2 linked regions of the Lonchura striata genome follow. The protein of the gene in region 1 purifies or fractionates together with the protein of each later gene. This does not show direct contact. Links are inferred from orthologs where the notes say so. Each region holds a gene or a part of one and is shown on either strand. Other genes may lie near its edges.

Region 1 (7,592 bases):
AACCAAGGTGCACCTTCAGATACCCTCCAGTCCTTCCTATGGCCAGACCATCTGTGTAATTAGAGAAGCACATGAAATTACCTTTGTAGTCAGAGAGCTTGATGTCTTTGAACTGTCCATCTGGCATTACAGCCGTGGCAGTAAAGTCAGGAGCTGGTTTTCCAATGAAAGCCTTTCCTGAAGACATCTTGATTTAACCTAGACAGGAGTCAACACCAATACAGTTTAGATGGCAGTACATTTGCAGCTGGAAGTAAGGATTTATTCAAAGCATCTTATCAATCTAGATTAAACACCAAAGACAGTTTATCAGCACTTGGTCTTTAAACAAGGCTTAGGGGTTAAATGAGTTTTGTCACCTGGGTAGTTGAACCACTATAGAGACTGCCAGCACTTCAAAATCTATGGCACATGGCCTCCTAAAGATACAGTAGTGGTTATCTAACCACTAATAGCTCAGCGTCTGGCAAACTCCTAGCCTAGAGCTTTACTAGTACTCAGAAAACCATACCATTCCACATGGTGGAAGAGTAGGAAGTATGTTTTTCAGAATTTTCAAGGAGAAGAACCTTGTTCAATTTTACAAGGGAATTTAAGACCTCAAACTTGAGCTTCCTGTTGATTCTGAAAGAAAATAACGTCTGTTAATCTCCAGGGAACATTGCTCTGCATAGCTACACTTAAACCTTTTGAACAATTCAATCCTTTTTTATTTGCAACCAGAAAAACTCGTGGCACACATGGAAATCACATTCTATGTTAATTACAATTTCACAGAGTCTAAATCAGTACAGCCAGGTTGTTTCCCCTTTATTTCTATTGAAAAAGAAAAAAAGGGTACACAAGGATAAAAGAATGCTACTTCTGGCTGTCTCCCCCAAAAGCTTGTCATCTGCAATACATCCCGTGTAGTATTTTTGCTCAGTCTGGGAGTGTAGTACAACTCTTTAGACTTCCAGAGCATAATCTTTCAAATAGGTAACTCTACAAACGTAATTTCTGCAGATCACATAATATTCTTAGAAGCTATTTCACTTCATTCTACACACTGCAGCACTGGCTGCCTTGGAGATGAAAAACACCTCAAAGGTTAGCATGACTCTCATGTTGCTAAGGAAAGCCAAGAGCCAAGGATTGTTCCAAGTTGTGCCTGCAAGGCACCAAGTCCGTTCTAAAAAAAGTTGAGAGCACCTCATTTCTTGGCTCCTTCCCCCTTGCCAGACACTTTTTTTCCTGGAGAACTAGCCCACAAGTCAAACATTTAGCTTTGAACCCACACCTAGCCTTTTTAGAAATGGTTTCCTTTTGCAAGTTTCTTTTACACACCCTGACAGTAATAATCCACCTCTTTATTTCCATTTTGAGAAGTGCTCACACACTCAGCATTTCTAACTGTAAAACAAAGCTCCTTATCCCCATGTTCATCCGAGGGTTTTTAGTCTTTAACTGCAGCAGACTGGGAGCGAATATGGTGGCCAGGACTAGAGATCATTTGTAGGATGCAGTGAAGTAGCCTGGCAGGAGGACATCAAGAATCCTGTACACACAAATGGAGCTGTGGCTCTCAAAGTGCAGTTCTGCAAGAGGGACAGGGGAACAGCACAGTATTTATTTGAGATGCCTCCAACTAGCAAGTTTTATCTTATAAGCAAGAGCTGCTCAGCCTGGAGTGCATGACCCCACATTTTTATCACTGAATTACATTATTTTCTGTTATCCCAGCTCAAGGTCATCCTTTTGCTCAGTACTATGCCAGTCCTTCTATATTTATTCCATCAGCAATTCTCTGGAGTATTTCACTAGATATTCAAGGTCAGACTGCTCTTTGATACTTCCCCTTTCTAAACTACAAGTTATTGCCCCTTTCTCTGGTACCATTAAAATATTTTAATATTTGCAGGAGACTTTGGTTGCCTCACACTTCAAGAGAGCCATGTGCTTTCCTCAGAGCACCCGCTGTGATCTGCCAACCCTTCTGCTATTCCGTGTGGGGTCCGCGCGTGTTCTGCTCGGATTTTTAGCCACAGCATTTCCTAACCCGCAGAGGAGCAGACCACAGAATCATTGTTACTTCCGTTCATTCTGCAGGAAAGTAGAATGAGCACCTTAAACCAAATACACTCGAATCCGGCCAGAGTATCTTTGTTGCTCATAGCCGCAGACGGCCTCAATTATCTTCAAACAGCAATTATAATGAGCCAGGCCTGCTCTCTTGAGCGAGCGATTTCATACCTTTAGGGTGCCTCGAACAAAAGCGAAAGGCCGTTTCAAAAGGCGCCATCAGCCTCCCCCTCTGCCACCTCCAGACTGTCACACAACGCGGTCGGGCCGCCGCGGCCGCGCTCGGGGTGCGACACCGAACCGCGGGCATCGCGCACGGACCGCGGCACGCGTGGGGCCCCGGGGCGGCCCCCGAGCCTGCCCCCGCTCTGCGACCGGGGAACCCGCCCCCTGCACGTCCCCGAGCCGCAGCCAGCGCTCGGCTTTGGGGTTTCTTAAGGCTTAGGAGCGAGATGCCGCCTCCTTGTCGGGGAAGGGGCCGCTCGGCTCCCTGCGGGCGCCCTGCGCGCTCCCCGCCCGCGGCTCCGCCCCGCGCAGCGCTGATAAAGGCCGGAGCGTTGGAACGACTTCTCTGCTCGCTCTCCCCGCCAAAAAAAGCCCAAACCAAAACCAGGGGAAACTGAACACGGCGGTTCAGGCGGCAGCGATCCTTCGGGAGCGGGACGCGGGGAGAAAGGGCTCGCCCCACGCGCCTCGTTCAAGCGCGCATCTGAGCAGAGGGGGAGGGGAAAGCGAACAAAAAACCCACCCAAAGCAGTAACAAAAACCACACAAAAATAAAATTAAATTTTAAAAAAGCCCAAAACACTGTGCAGAGCCCGCAGCAGCCCCCAGAGCCCCGCACACTCACTCACTCGCAGCGCAGCGCCGATCCGCTCACAGCAGCCGCTCCGCCCGGCCCGCTCTGCCGCAGCCCCGCCGCGCCGCCCCCTTTATAGCGGCGCGATCTCGCGAGCGGACGCGCGGGGAGGGGAGCGCGGCCGCGCCTGCCAGGGCAGCATGACTTGGCAGATCCTTCCCTGGAGAGAGTCCCGGGAAGTGCCGCGCAAATCGCCAATGCCGCGGCTATAAACGATTGATGGGCTTGGTGCAAGAAGCGATGGCGTTTTTAGTGCCCTAATTGACCTAGCTATGATTATTTGAAGTCCTCAGAGGGCACGCAGGACTTTGAGAGAGGAAAAGGGATGACTGGCATGTCATTCATGTGAATTAAGTGTTGGTCATTGACAGAAGTAAAACGAAACCTCTCACGAGCAGAACAATGTGTGTTCGCAGTGTTGCACAGGTGCGGTGTCAAATCTCCATCCTCTCGCTCTGCATTACCCACTGCCCCCTCTCCCTAATACTCGTCCCAAGGCTTTCATTGATTCTTCTCCATCAATGGGAACACCGATCCCAGTCATGCAAGTCAGCAAAAGAAAGATGAAAACTAAGTTTAAAGTCTAATCGTTGAGCTTCAGTGGTAAAATGGAAACTCTTGGGAGTTTTGCATCATTCTGTAGTGAAGCTGCTCTGAGTGATGTTTAACATCAGTGATTTCACATAAGTGCTGTCTTTGAATCTAAAAGTGAACAAGGAGTGTGGTACTTTTTAAGGGCCAAATTTTGATTTTAAATGTGAATTTATTTTATTAAATAATAAATATCTAAAGCCATTAAGCCATATCAAAGACAAAAATGCTTGCTTCTGTCAAAAGTGATAAATGTGCTCACCAACTGATTTTTACTCATCTGTTTTGCAGTTTACAGTTGTGCTTCTTATATTTTTTAAAACTTGATTATAAATATTGATGAGGAGAAAACCACAAAGGATTAACAAACTTTAAAGGTTTATAGTCAAGATCACTGTGCAGTGTTGCTGGGTAACTATACCGTTGTGGTGGTTCACCCAGAGATGACTCATTTTGGGACCAGATGAACTTAATCCTTAATGAATACTGAAAGCAAATAACATGCATATATGTACTCAGGAAAAAATCTGCACTCACTTCCATGCAACTAATTTATCTACTTCTATTGCTATAGCATGCTTAATCTTTTACAGGAAGAAGTTTACTTTCTTAACATCAGCACTGAGAATTGAGGTCTATATATTGAGATATGTATATACTTCTCCATCGCCTCAGGCCAATGAGCCTGTGAACAGATTAACTCCTGAAAGGTCAGGCAGTTCTAATTAAAGCCTCCAGAACAATGTAGTGCCACTGCAACGCTGGCATGTTTACAAATGGACAAAGTAATCATGACTTTCTCGTGGTTTCTGACTCCTTCAATGCTTGTTATGCTGATTTCTCATAATTTCAGATGCACAATATACCCAGTATGGTCTGCAGGTTGTTCCAGGTTTGTGCTGTAAGCATTGCCTTTCCATTCAGATGTCTATGGCCTCATTACTTTTGATTAATTTCTGAGCTTGTCTTTCCAGATGTCAGTTTTTGGAGGTTTTGGAATAATAAATTGTCAGGGCCACTTCTTGTTCAGTGAGCACCTGGGTTTCTGTAGCCTTTCTCAACCTTTAGATGTAGGATGCTACTTAGATTAAAACAATCATGTTTTCCAGGAAAGAAAGGGCAAGTCTACCCCCGCAGGTGCTGGAAGGATGGAGTTCTCTCCACACAGCAGTGTAACTGTGCTGTCCTGTACTGATAAAATAGCTGCCAGACAGGATCAGCTTGTACCTGATTAGCATGGAGCATCAGAGCCCAGTGCAGGCCTCTCTGCACCCAGCCACTCCGACAGGGACACAATAAGTACTTCATCTATCAACAAAGAGGAGCTGGCAGGCCCTGCAGTGCCAGAGCACTGAAACTACCCAAACTGGGAGCCAAACTAGCTTTCACATCCATCATTTTGATTACAGTATCTCTCATGTATCTTGGTTGGGAATGGGCCCCTGATGTGAAAAAACAAATGCCCTGCTGTGTGTAAAAAGAAAGGCAAAGAAACTGGACCTGTTTCAAAACGTTACCACACGTTTGGGTTTCCATGCATTTGAGAATAGTTTTGTGTAAGAGTATCAAAGATTTCCAGAATAAGATAAATTTGGCTGGAATAGTAATGGATTTGGCAACACTAGGCATGCCCCTGGGGCACACAGCAGAGGTAGTCCCTGCATGCCCTCAAAAGCCAGCACACTGGGACACCCTCACACATTCCCTGTGGAGTTCATCACTGCATGTGCCAAAAGTCCACTGAGTCCTGAATATACCAAACCTCCTACATACACATGGTACTACCAGAGGCACAGTCAGAGTCAAGTCCTGGCCATGTGGGGACTATTTAATTTAATGTGTGCAGAAAGTCAGCTAACAAGTCAGCAACTAACAAGTTCCATGGGGCATTTATGCACAAGCAGCTGGTGCACAATCATTTTAATGAAAACAACTGCATGCCATTAAATATACAATACACATAGCTTTCCTTGTTTGAATCAAGTTTTTGACCTATTTCTAGGTCAAAATTACCTCTTCTCTGATTTTTTTTCAATTAGCAGGCTATTACTGTATGTTTGGATAACCACTGCCTTTTGATTACAAAATTTTTCAGTCTTCCTTACCTTTTCTCTTTTACTCCCCTATTACATTGCTGGAGGCTAAGGTTTGTTAAAGTTTTCATATGTGAGATTTACATAATTCAAGCATCTTCTTTTGCTTGAAGATTGTGGACTTTCAAATGGATGTGTTTGCCAGGGTCTTCATAAAAATAAATCAAAATCAGCAGTGATTCCTCCCCCTTTATTCTTTCATTTCCCGACTCCTGTTACTTATAATTGTCTTGTCCTTGCACTTTTCTTCCACTTTCCCTTATTTTGTCAAAACAGGCTGTGCAGCATGAAAATCTGGTCACATGCATGCCCAAGAGATTAACTGACCTTTGTGCCTTTAAGTCTCCTGAGCAGTTCAAGTCAGAACAGAAAAGACTAAATCTGCTGCAGATTCTTCTTTCTGGAAATAAGTAAGAGGTTCTTCAAGAGGCTCACCAGAGGTATCAATTGCCTTATTTCTGATCTAATCTTACTCTAAGTTCTGAACGTTTATAAATTGCTTGTAAAGATGGGATCCTTTTTTGGAGTAATAGTCAGAAGTGATTATCTGTTTTAAGTTGTGTTTAAGATTGGGTGCACAGTTGATTCTCGATTAGAGGCCAAAGTCTGCTCCAGCAGAAGGCTTTGATTTGGCAGCAGCAGGGCTGTCCCTGCCCAGCAGTGAAAGCGCTCAGCTGAATGAGCCTGCTTTAATCTCACTGCGGTCCCGAGCAAACAAGGAAATGAATTCCTGGCCATCTGCAAGGAGAGAAACCCCGGCTTTCTCGGAAAGTGCGACTTCTCTATACACCTTAGAGTGCAAAAGGTGAAGCAAAACGAGTGCAACCGGCCTTTCACTTTCCCTTGATTCCTGTTATTTAGGTCTGCAAATAAAACTGGGTATATTCGGTCTTCCTACAAGTAGAAATAGCTTCAAGAGGCCGCGACAAACAGCAGCCAGGGAAATGCAAACGCTTCTTGTCAAATTTATGGGCCGGGGTCATCTTTTGTCTGTCCCCCCCGTGCGGTGCAGCTCATCGCATGCATCACTTCACCGCTGGGCGGGAGCGGCGAGGCTGGGCTGCCTGAGCTCCCCGGGACCCGGGCCGGGAGGCCCAGGACACCAGCGGGGCAAACCCGAGCAGTAACAGGAGCGGGTCGGTGCCGGGGAGCCCGGCCGGGGGCAGGGCCGTGAGGGCAGCTCAGCCCCGCTAAACCCCCACTGACAGACTTTAATGGACTTCCACATTTGAACCCGCCAGGGGCAGCCGCGCCGCCCCAGCCCGCGGCCCGCTGGCGGCGGAAGCGGAAGGGCCGGGCAGCAGCGGGGGCAGCAGCCTCAGGAGCGGCGGGAGCGGCGCTCGGTACCGGCGGTGAGTGCGGGAGCGGCGGCGCCCCTTATCGCCCCTGCAGCGCCCCGCGCCGCGCGGGCCCGCCCTGCGCCGCCCCGATAAGGGGCAGGTGGGCGCACTCGGCCTCTGCAGGGGAGCCGGAATGGAGAGGGGTTATCCCCGATCTGTGCGGCGGGAGCTGCTCGGTTACAGCGGCTTAAGTATCGCCAATATGTACCTGTTTGCATAGCTATACGTATTAATAGTATGCATAGCTGCTGAAAGACTCGTTGCTTTAAGTTAAAACAGAGCTGTAGCTGTGGGTTGATGGACCGGGGTGGTTTGCATTATTGTGGTTATTGATACACCTCTTAGCCACAATGTCCTTGAATTACTCTGAGCTTTAATCCTTTTATGTGAATGTGGCAGTAGGTTGGTGATGTTAAGGCATCACCATATCTTACTTCTCCAGATTTAGTTTCCTTTTATGTTTTTCCTTATCTCTGCCCTTCAAAGAAGAGGTTTTCAGCTTTTTAATGAACTGAATAATTATGGCTAGCATCATAAATGTCATTCTCCTAAATCCTCTATTTTAGGGAAGAATCTGAGTGGAAAGTATTAATTAACATATTTTTCCAGTGTCTGCCATTCTGATGTGTTCCATTCTTCCAGAGGCTA
Region 2 (7,753 bases), on another chromosome or scaffold:
ACACCACCTCTAAAATTATCACTTACAGCAAAAGCTGCAATTTTTCAGCATCTTCTTTAACTTAAATAACAAGAGAGGCAGCTAGAATGAAGAGAAAAGCTTTGGCAGCTTTTTAATTTTATACACCCCATTAGCTTTGGCTATAAAAAGCAGTATGTCCCATAGTCAAACCCTCTTACAAATTACACTAGTCACTCACCTCAAGGCCACTAAAAAACAGTAACAATACATCTCCTTCTGTGCTATAGCAGGTACTACAGAAGGAACAGTCAGGCACCCTGAAAGTAGACATTCTTCAGAAGCCAGTCTCCTTCTGAGGAGGTGTGCAGGGAAAAGGGCCACACCTACCTAGCTCTCACTCATAGAAGCTCTTGCAGACAGTGCAAGAATGGGTTTTTACCCTTTGTATCAGAGAATAATACAAACCTGCTTTACTGAAAACCAGAATTAATCCAGAAATCCCAGCTGCACTGCACTTGAATACTCTGGGTGTCACCGAGGTTAAAATGCTGTTGTCAGCATGACTGCCGAGTTCACACTGTCCATGAATGCAAAACCAAAGTTCGCTTTAGCTACAGCAGACTGTTAAACAACACTCATAGCTAGGAGGATAGTGAAAGCCTGCCTAAAGAGTAGGCTCCTCCTCCAGAGCCAGGTTTGACTTGCCATGTTTAATCTGTTACACCCTTACACCAAAAGTTTGCCCCTTCTGTGGCACCATAGACAGAGAAGGGGGAAGAGATACAAAGCAGAACAATTCTAGGTTGTAGTCACACACCATTCTCTCTTCAGAACCTGAAATGGTAAGGCATTTCATTCCTCTTAAGGAGGTTTGTGCATTCACCTGCTTTTGAGCTGTGGTCACAAGTGTTAATTTGTATATTTATGTATCAGATTCCAACAATTTGCGGTCCAGTGGGAGAGGTTTGACATGCCTTTCATATATAAAGCGAACTGACTGTAGAAGAGCACGGCCTAGAAAACAAACTTGGATGTTTGAGAGACTGGAAAGACTGAGGTCTCAAAACATTTTGAGGTGCAAATGTGTGGGGGAAGGGGCAGATCAGACCTTGCTCTGGTGAGGCAGTGCACACCCGCATCCCTAGAGCCTTTCTCCCAGACAGTGACCACCAACCATGGGCACGCTATAGGCAAGGGGCACTTAAGGCCAAACATGCTGCAAGCATATGTCTTGACCCTGCCTCCTCTTGGAATTTCTATCAGCTGAACACTGCTAGAACCCAGCAGTTAGTAGCTGTATGTGCCCTTTTTAATATCTCTTCTATCTTTTTCTTCTAAGTCTCTCCTCTCATAATTTTTGAGTGACTTGAAATCAAACACGTTTAGAGCTTGCCAAGTTGAATGGGCTAAGTTAATGCTTTGGGAAGTGTTTTATGTTAACTGAATGTTACACAAAACCTTTTGCCAAAGTTCTTTGATTTTCTAAAGTTGCCAGTAAAGTCTTTTTTGACCTCTTGAGAATATCTTGACAGTATTTCTCCCGTGTCTAACTCAGAGTAAATGAGCCCTGTCAAAGACCTGTTAACTGTAAGCCCTGTTAAAGATCTTGCTGAGCGACTTTTTGGGGCCTTACAGGATACCCACACACCATCACTTGCAGATGCCTCAAAAATGAGATCAAACTGACATTTGCACCAGATTCCAAGTTCAAAAGGGTGAGACTAGCCCAACAGGATTTTTCCTGAAATTAAGAACTTGCTAAGTTTGCATGGAGAATATTTTTCGAGACTTGGGTTCCTAAGTTACAGCTAACAAGTACTCTATTGTTGTCTATCAACCAGATCAGCTGCTGTGCACAAAACCACATACTATTTCATCACCAGCAGGATATTCTCCATGTGTCTAGGCTTTATTACTACTTTCTATCTCAGAGCCACAGATGTGTTTGTATTCACAGAATCATCCAAACAGTGATGTGCTGCATTAGGGTTGTGAATACAACAGACAGCACCATAACAAGGGAAATACTTCTTATGCCAGCAACTCCTGCTGTTTAAGCACGGGGAATGGGCTCTAGCAGTTCCTTTCAAGTCAAGAATGGATGAACTCTTGCACGATGTCCTCCCCAGAAGTGCAACAGGCCAAACTCTAAGAAAGCCACCTAGTCCCCTACACACTAGCAGTACATAAAACAAATCAGAACTGCCAAATCAAGATACTATATCACAAAATCAGTTAGGTTGGAAAAGACCCCCGAGATCATCGAGTCCGAGATGTGACCCAACACCACACTGTCAACCAGACCATGGCACTCAGCGCCATGTCGAGTTCTTTAAACATCTGCGAGGACAGTGACTCAACCACTTCCCTGTGAAGCGTACCCCAACGCCAAATCACCCTGTCTTTTAAGAAATTCATCCTTATGTCCAACCTAAACCTCCTTTGACGCAGCTTAAGACTGCGTTCTCTCCGCCTGTCGCTGTAGTGCCCTGCTATCCGCTTGAGAAACGAAACCTTTTCCTTAAAAGAGCGATGAACAGCCCGTCATAAGGCGAGACTGCATCACGTCCCCGCTCACTCCGACTCCCCGAAGCCTCAGGTCCGCAGTTATTAGTTCCCAACCCTGCCCCGGCCGAGCCCTCCGCGCGGCTTCCCCCGGCCGCGCCGCATGGGCGAAGCAGGCTCCGCCTGCCCGGGCAGCACACGGGCTCGCAGCCGCCATCTCCCGCGGGCCCTCGAGGGCCCGGGGCAGCCCGAGCACGATCCCCCGCCGGCCAAACCGCGCCGGGCACTGCTAATCCCCGCCCGCCCGCCCGCCCGCCGGGCGATGATGCTCGTCCCGCCGGGCGCCGCTCTCACGGCGAAACGACACGACCGCCTCGCCCATCGGGCTCACCAGGCTGCTCACGATCTTCACCATGGCGGCGACGGTGGGAAAGGAGAGTCGGTGCTGTAAAGGCAAGGAACCAAGGGATTCGTCGCCACACAAGGCTCAGCTTCCCGCCTTGCCTCCCGCCGTCCCAGCGCGTCTCCGGCCCGCCCCGGCCGCCCTTTTATGCCCAGCACGGCGCCGCGCCGCGCATGCGCAGGGGCGACCCGCCTCCTGGCGCTGCCGCTGCCCGCGGCGCCGCTGGGGCCCCGCTGAGGGGCGGCGGCCCGGGAGGGGAGCGTGCGTCCCTGCCGGCTGCCGGGGGAACCGGCAGCAGCAGCGGAAGAAAGAAAGCCCAAGGAGGTTGGAAAAGTGCTGTGTAACGATGAGCAGGAAGTTGCTTGGCCCCTCCCCCTCCCCCCCCCCCCCCCCCCATCACGTCCCCGCGGGGAGCGGCTCTGTCTGACGCGGCGTTTTGCTCGCCTTACGAGAAAGGGAGCTGGTGTTGCCCGTAATGCGGGCAGAGTGGAAGGCAGGAATAAATGACGGGAATATTTTTTTCCTTGTTACTTTTTTTCCCTTGTTGTTTTCCTTCCCACCACCAAAAGCAGGGAGTGGCGCCCTTGCTCTGTGGGATGTGGGCCCTTGTGCAGCGCGGAAGGCTGCGGTGTTTAACCCGGGGTTAAACTCTGACCGCCTCCCGTAGCTCCCCTCATGCAGGGACTCAGCCAGAAAGACTCCTCAAGGGAATAGCTTAGCGTTCCCATCCGAGGGGGTTCTCTGGTGGAACCTACAAGTTCCATCCATCTTGGTTTTTTTCTCTGTGTTTTGGAGACGTCCCTTGTTTCATCGCAAGCTGTGCCACAGCTCACCCCACAGTGCAAAACAGGCCTGCCACAGCCCTGTTCTCCTTCTGTTGGGCTGGTAGGGTTTAATGTTGGACTCTGGACGTTGCTGACTCCAGTTCCTACTGCACGGGACCCAGGAAAGGTTAGGTGTTGGGATATTGGTGCCAGCTGTGTCACGAACGGGCTGTTTCTGCAGGTTTTAGCAGCTGGGTTAGCAGCCTGTGAAAGTTTGCTCTGGGATACACCTGAGCAGAAGGTGAGAAGACTTAGTGCAGGTCCTGGATAAAAAAAGAAATACAGTTCTTTCTTGAAAAGAAAAAGAAAACAAAAGACAGTTTGCCTTGGATACAGGTACCAACCCATCCCAACAGGATATGCCCTCATATGTTGCTTTACTTGTGGTAGAAACTGAGTAAGTAATTTTTTATTTTGGAAGTTTATTAAGTGTGTGTCATACTACTGCAGGAAAACTAGTAAGCTCTTTTCTGGCCCTATGGTTGCATCCCCTGTCTATATCTTTCCAGACCTGATAGGTTTTGTCTGCCTGAAACACTTTGATTGCTGCTCTTTCTGCTTCTTCCCCCACCTGTTAGATACCATGAGCATCTCCTTTTTTTTCTTTGGCAGCATCACTAGAGGAGCCAGGATGCCAGTGGGTGAGAAGCAGCACCATGAAGGCTTAGTGGTTTCTGTTGGCTTTTGTATTTTCATCCAGCTTCCTCCAGCTGGTCCCTGCTGCCCTTGTGTCCATGTGCCTTGTGGCTGACAAACACAACTGGTACATGTGTCCTGTGCTGCTTTGGGGAGGTGCAGCTGCTGCTCAGAAGAAAGCAGGAATTCCTCATCAGCCAAGGCACCTTTCTCTACAACCTGCGGCCTGGCAGGATAAATTAAGAAGCCCAGACTACTTTCAAAGTCCAACTCCTGAATTCCCCACCTCAGCCAAGCATTATGTGGCTCTTGCAGAAGCCAGTGCAAGCAAATGCAGGGAACAACCCACCCAAACAATAAATTCTTAGAAACCAACAGCCTTCTAAAGGCAAGTGTGGGTGGGTAAACCCTCTCTAAACTAGAAGGAAAAGTGTGTCTTTTCTTAGGTGCCATATGTGGCCACTCATCTCTTGCTGTGCTCACAGTCACTTGACTTAACAGGCTTAGGCATACAGCAGTTTGAAGTTCAAAATGTTGCTGTATGATTGTTGTATGGATGCCTAAAATAACTGGACAGTAATATAATATATGTGATCTGTGCTTGATTCTTAAATTGTTGTAATTACTATCATGACAGCACATAATAAAAATGCTACAGAGCAATGTGTATCCTCTAAATGGGTGTTTTGTTTTTTTAAACTGTGGAATATCTCATTGTTTAGCTCAGCAATGCTGTGGCTGTCCCATGTACACAGTCACTCATCCATAGGAGCCTCAGCTTCTCAGGTGCCCTCACTCCCACCCACTTTCCTCACAACCACAAATGCAACATACTTCTCTCCCCCAGGCTGCTGGAGAGTGGATGTTAAAAATATGCAAGTTGGCTGTGGAGAAGTTGAAAATCACGTGAATTTCATGATTCAGCAGACTGCTGTATGATGTGTCATACCCAGGAGTCACTGGGTAGGACGGTGGCCAGTAGATGGCTCTTTGCAAATCTGGGCTGACAGAGAATGAGGAAGCACTTAAAGACATTCAGGAGGGTGTGTTTGCTTGCTTCTGGAAGTCAGAAAATGTGGTCTGAGGAGGGGCAGAGTGAAAAGGCAATGTAACTTTCAAAAATTAGTCCCTAGATAGTTTCTCTTGCAGAAAGTCTGGAGACATAGAGAAATGACTGAGCCACCCATGCACTATAACTGAGTATATCTTTGCCACGCTCCTTGGATGTGTGCAAAACATGTGGGAGAGGAAGTCAGAAGGTCTAAATTTAGGTGCCCTCAAGTGAATTAATCAGTACCACTTAGGTGTAGGCCAGTAAAAAGGACTGTATTTTTGGAGAGCTCATGCTATGCCACAGTCATCACAAACATCCAGGTGGGAATTCAATTTGTGTTGTTTTAGTCACCTTTAAAGCTCCTGTGGTGGAAGGCATCCTTTATTTTTTGGGCTTTGTTTGTGTTGTTTGATGTCACCTGTTAGGTGAGAGCAACATGGGCCAGCAGTAGGAAAGAGCTTCACCCTGGAGGTGAACTCGGGGTGTGCTCAGGGTCTGACATGCAGTAGGGTTTTGGGAGGCTGAGCAAATTACAGTTTCAGTTCCTTCTGAGCTGCTGGGAGAGGTGGGAAGGAGGGTAGAAAAGGTGAGCAGCAGTAATCCCTGACAGGATGACCAGCAAGGCAGGTTGTAAATCATGGTGTCCCTCTGGATGAATGAGCCAGAGCTGTGACACACGGTCCCGGTGTGATGCCCCCCCAGCTCCACATGGCTTTCCAGATCTGTAGTTTAAAGGCTTTGGGACCATGAATTACCTTTCCAGGGCTTGCTTTTTCTTTTCTTTGTATGCCAGTGCATGTTGGTGGATGGAGGAATGCCATGGCGTGGTGAGACCCAAGGTAGGCTGTAGGTCTGCAACTGCACATCCATGAGCATATCTAAGAAAAACTTCTGTCTCCTAAAACCACTCTTAAGTGTCCTGACCTCTCAAATGTGTCATTCAATAAAAGGCACAGCTACAAGGATAATAATACTACAGCCATGGCACAGATGGTCAGTCATGTCCAACATTACAAAATGGTGCATCCAGCTGCAGAAATGAGGCAGCTGCTAGAGGCAACAACTCCAGCCATAGGAGCATCAGATTTTACCATAGGAAGGCCAGGTTATTTGCCATTGTCTTGCAATGTAAATTGAGAGTGTAACATCTGGCCCTGACATTGCAACAGGGCAGCAACCTTTAATTGTACTTTCCCTTTCCTTCCAGCCTGCCCTTCTGGAGGATTTTGCTTTTGTAACTCATGTATTAAAGGTGCAATAAATGTTTAATAATTGGATAGGTGTGCTTGGTGTTGTGCCAGCATAAGTCACAGAGGAAACATACTTCTTTCTCTCTTGCAGGCTGATGTACTGCAGATGTAATTGCCTAGAGTCTTTTGAATGCTTGGTGTAGCATGTATGATTAAAAAAGAGAGAAGCTGAGTAAAATGTGGGGGAAAAAAAGGGAAATAAAGATCTTGACCGCAGTTCATCTCCCCTTACCATGGGGGTATGTTGGTTAACAAAGCCCTTCTGAGAATCAAGAAAACATCCAAGTCACTTCCCTTACATACATGTTCCCTTCCCTCATTTTTGCTTCATTTTTGAATCTTTGGAGAAAAGAATTTCAAAACAGTCCAGAACTGATGAAGCTACTACTTTTTGGACTTGTATTAGAAGGAACCTGTTTTTTAAAGAAAGCTTCTGTGAGCTCACCTGGGTTTATGCCATGTTGTGGGTCTCCACAAAGGAAGGTACCCTGACAGGAGGTCTGTGAACATGGGAATGCTTATATGCACTCTCTGTTATCGAGACACTTCAGGCCTCATGTCAAGACAAACACATGTATTTGCCTTAAGTGTCTCAAACTCAGTCATCTCCTCCATGCTCTCAGCCTCTGTTCTTCCTTGGGTAGCAGAGCAGTCTAGAGCAAGCAGATCTGCATTTTTTTTTCTACAATACATGTTGTGTCTTTTTTTTTTTTTTTTCCCTAGAGAACCACATATTTTTTAGGGGATCCTTCATTTTCCTAGGGAATGATGCTGAATCTGTCTGTCCAAATGTCCCCTGCTACTACACAGAAGCAAGACTCTTTGGGCTGCAGGAGGGTATTACAAGGCTCTTGGCCTTGAGGACGGCAGTGGACAAAGAGGAAAAGAGAATTTCAAGGTTGTGCCAAAGCATGAAGCTGAAATTTAGCACTTTGTGGTCGCTGTGCTTGTGCTGAACATCTGCAGAATGGGAGATCAGGAGACTCCTGGAGAGGAGATGAGATATTTTTGCTTTTTTGGGACATGTGCATTTTCATAACATTTTGTCTGGGGGACAGTATCTGCTGATTTGGCCTGACAATAGACAAACACTGATGTTTCAGAACATGTGGAGATACAC

What was found. The genes of interacting proteins can lie anywhere in the genome.
Region 2: the proteins of PRDX1 (region 1) and thioredoxin purify together in Homo sapiens (affinity purification with western blotting; 3 studies listed by BioGRID, with this or other methods). This does not show direct contact. The link is inferred for Lonchura striata from reciprocal best matches to the Homo sapiens genes PRDX1 and TXN.

What each region holds. Positions count from the first base shown.
Region 1 is NC_134611.1:13,332,573-13,340,164, reverse strand, and holds the start of PRDX1 (peroxiredoxin-1), read right to left. Parts: upstream 3,011-7,592; 5' UTR 2,912-3,010; intron 199-2,911; 5' UTR 188-198; coding exon 82-187; intron 1-81. UniProt on the Homo sapiens protein: Thiol-specific peroxidase that catalyzes the reduction of hydrogen peroxide and organic hydroperoxides to water and alcohols, respectively.
Region 2 is NC_134642.1:61,378,527-61,386,279, reverse strand, and holds the start of thioredoxin, read right to left. Parts: upstream 3,021-7,753; 5' UTR 2,882-3,020; coding exon 2,858-2,881; intron 1-2,857. UniProt on the Homo sapiens protein: Participates in various redox reactions through the reversible oxidation of its active center dithiol to a disulfide and catalyzes dithiol-disulfide exchange reactions.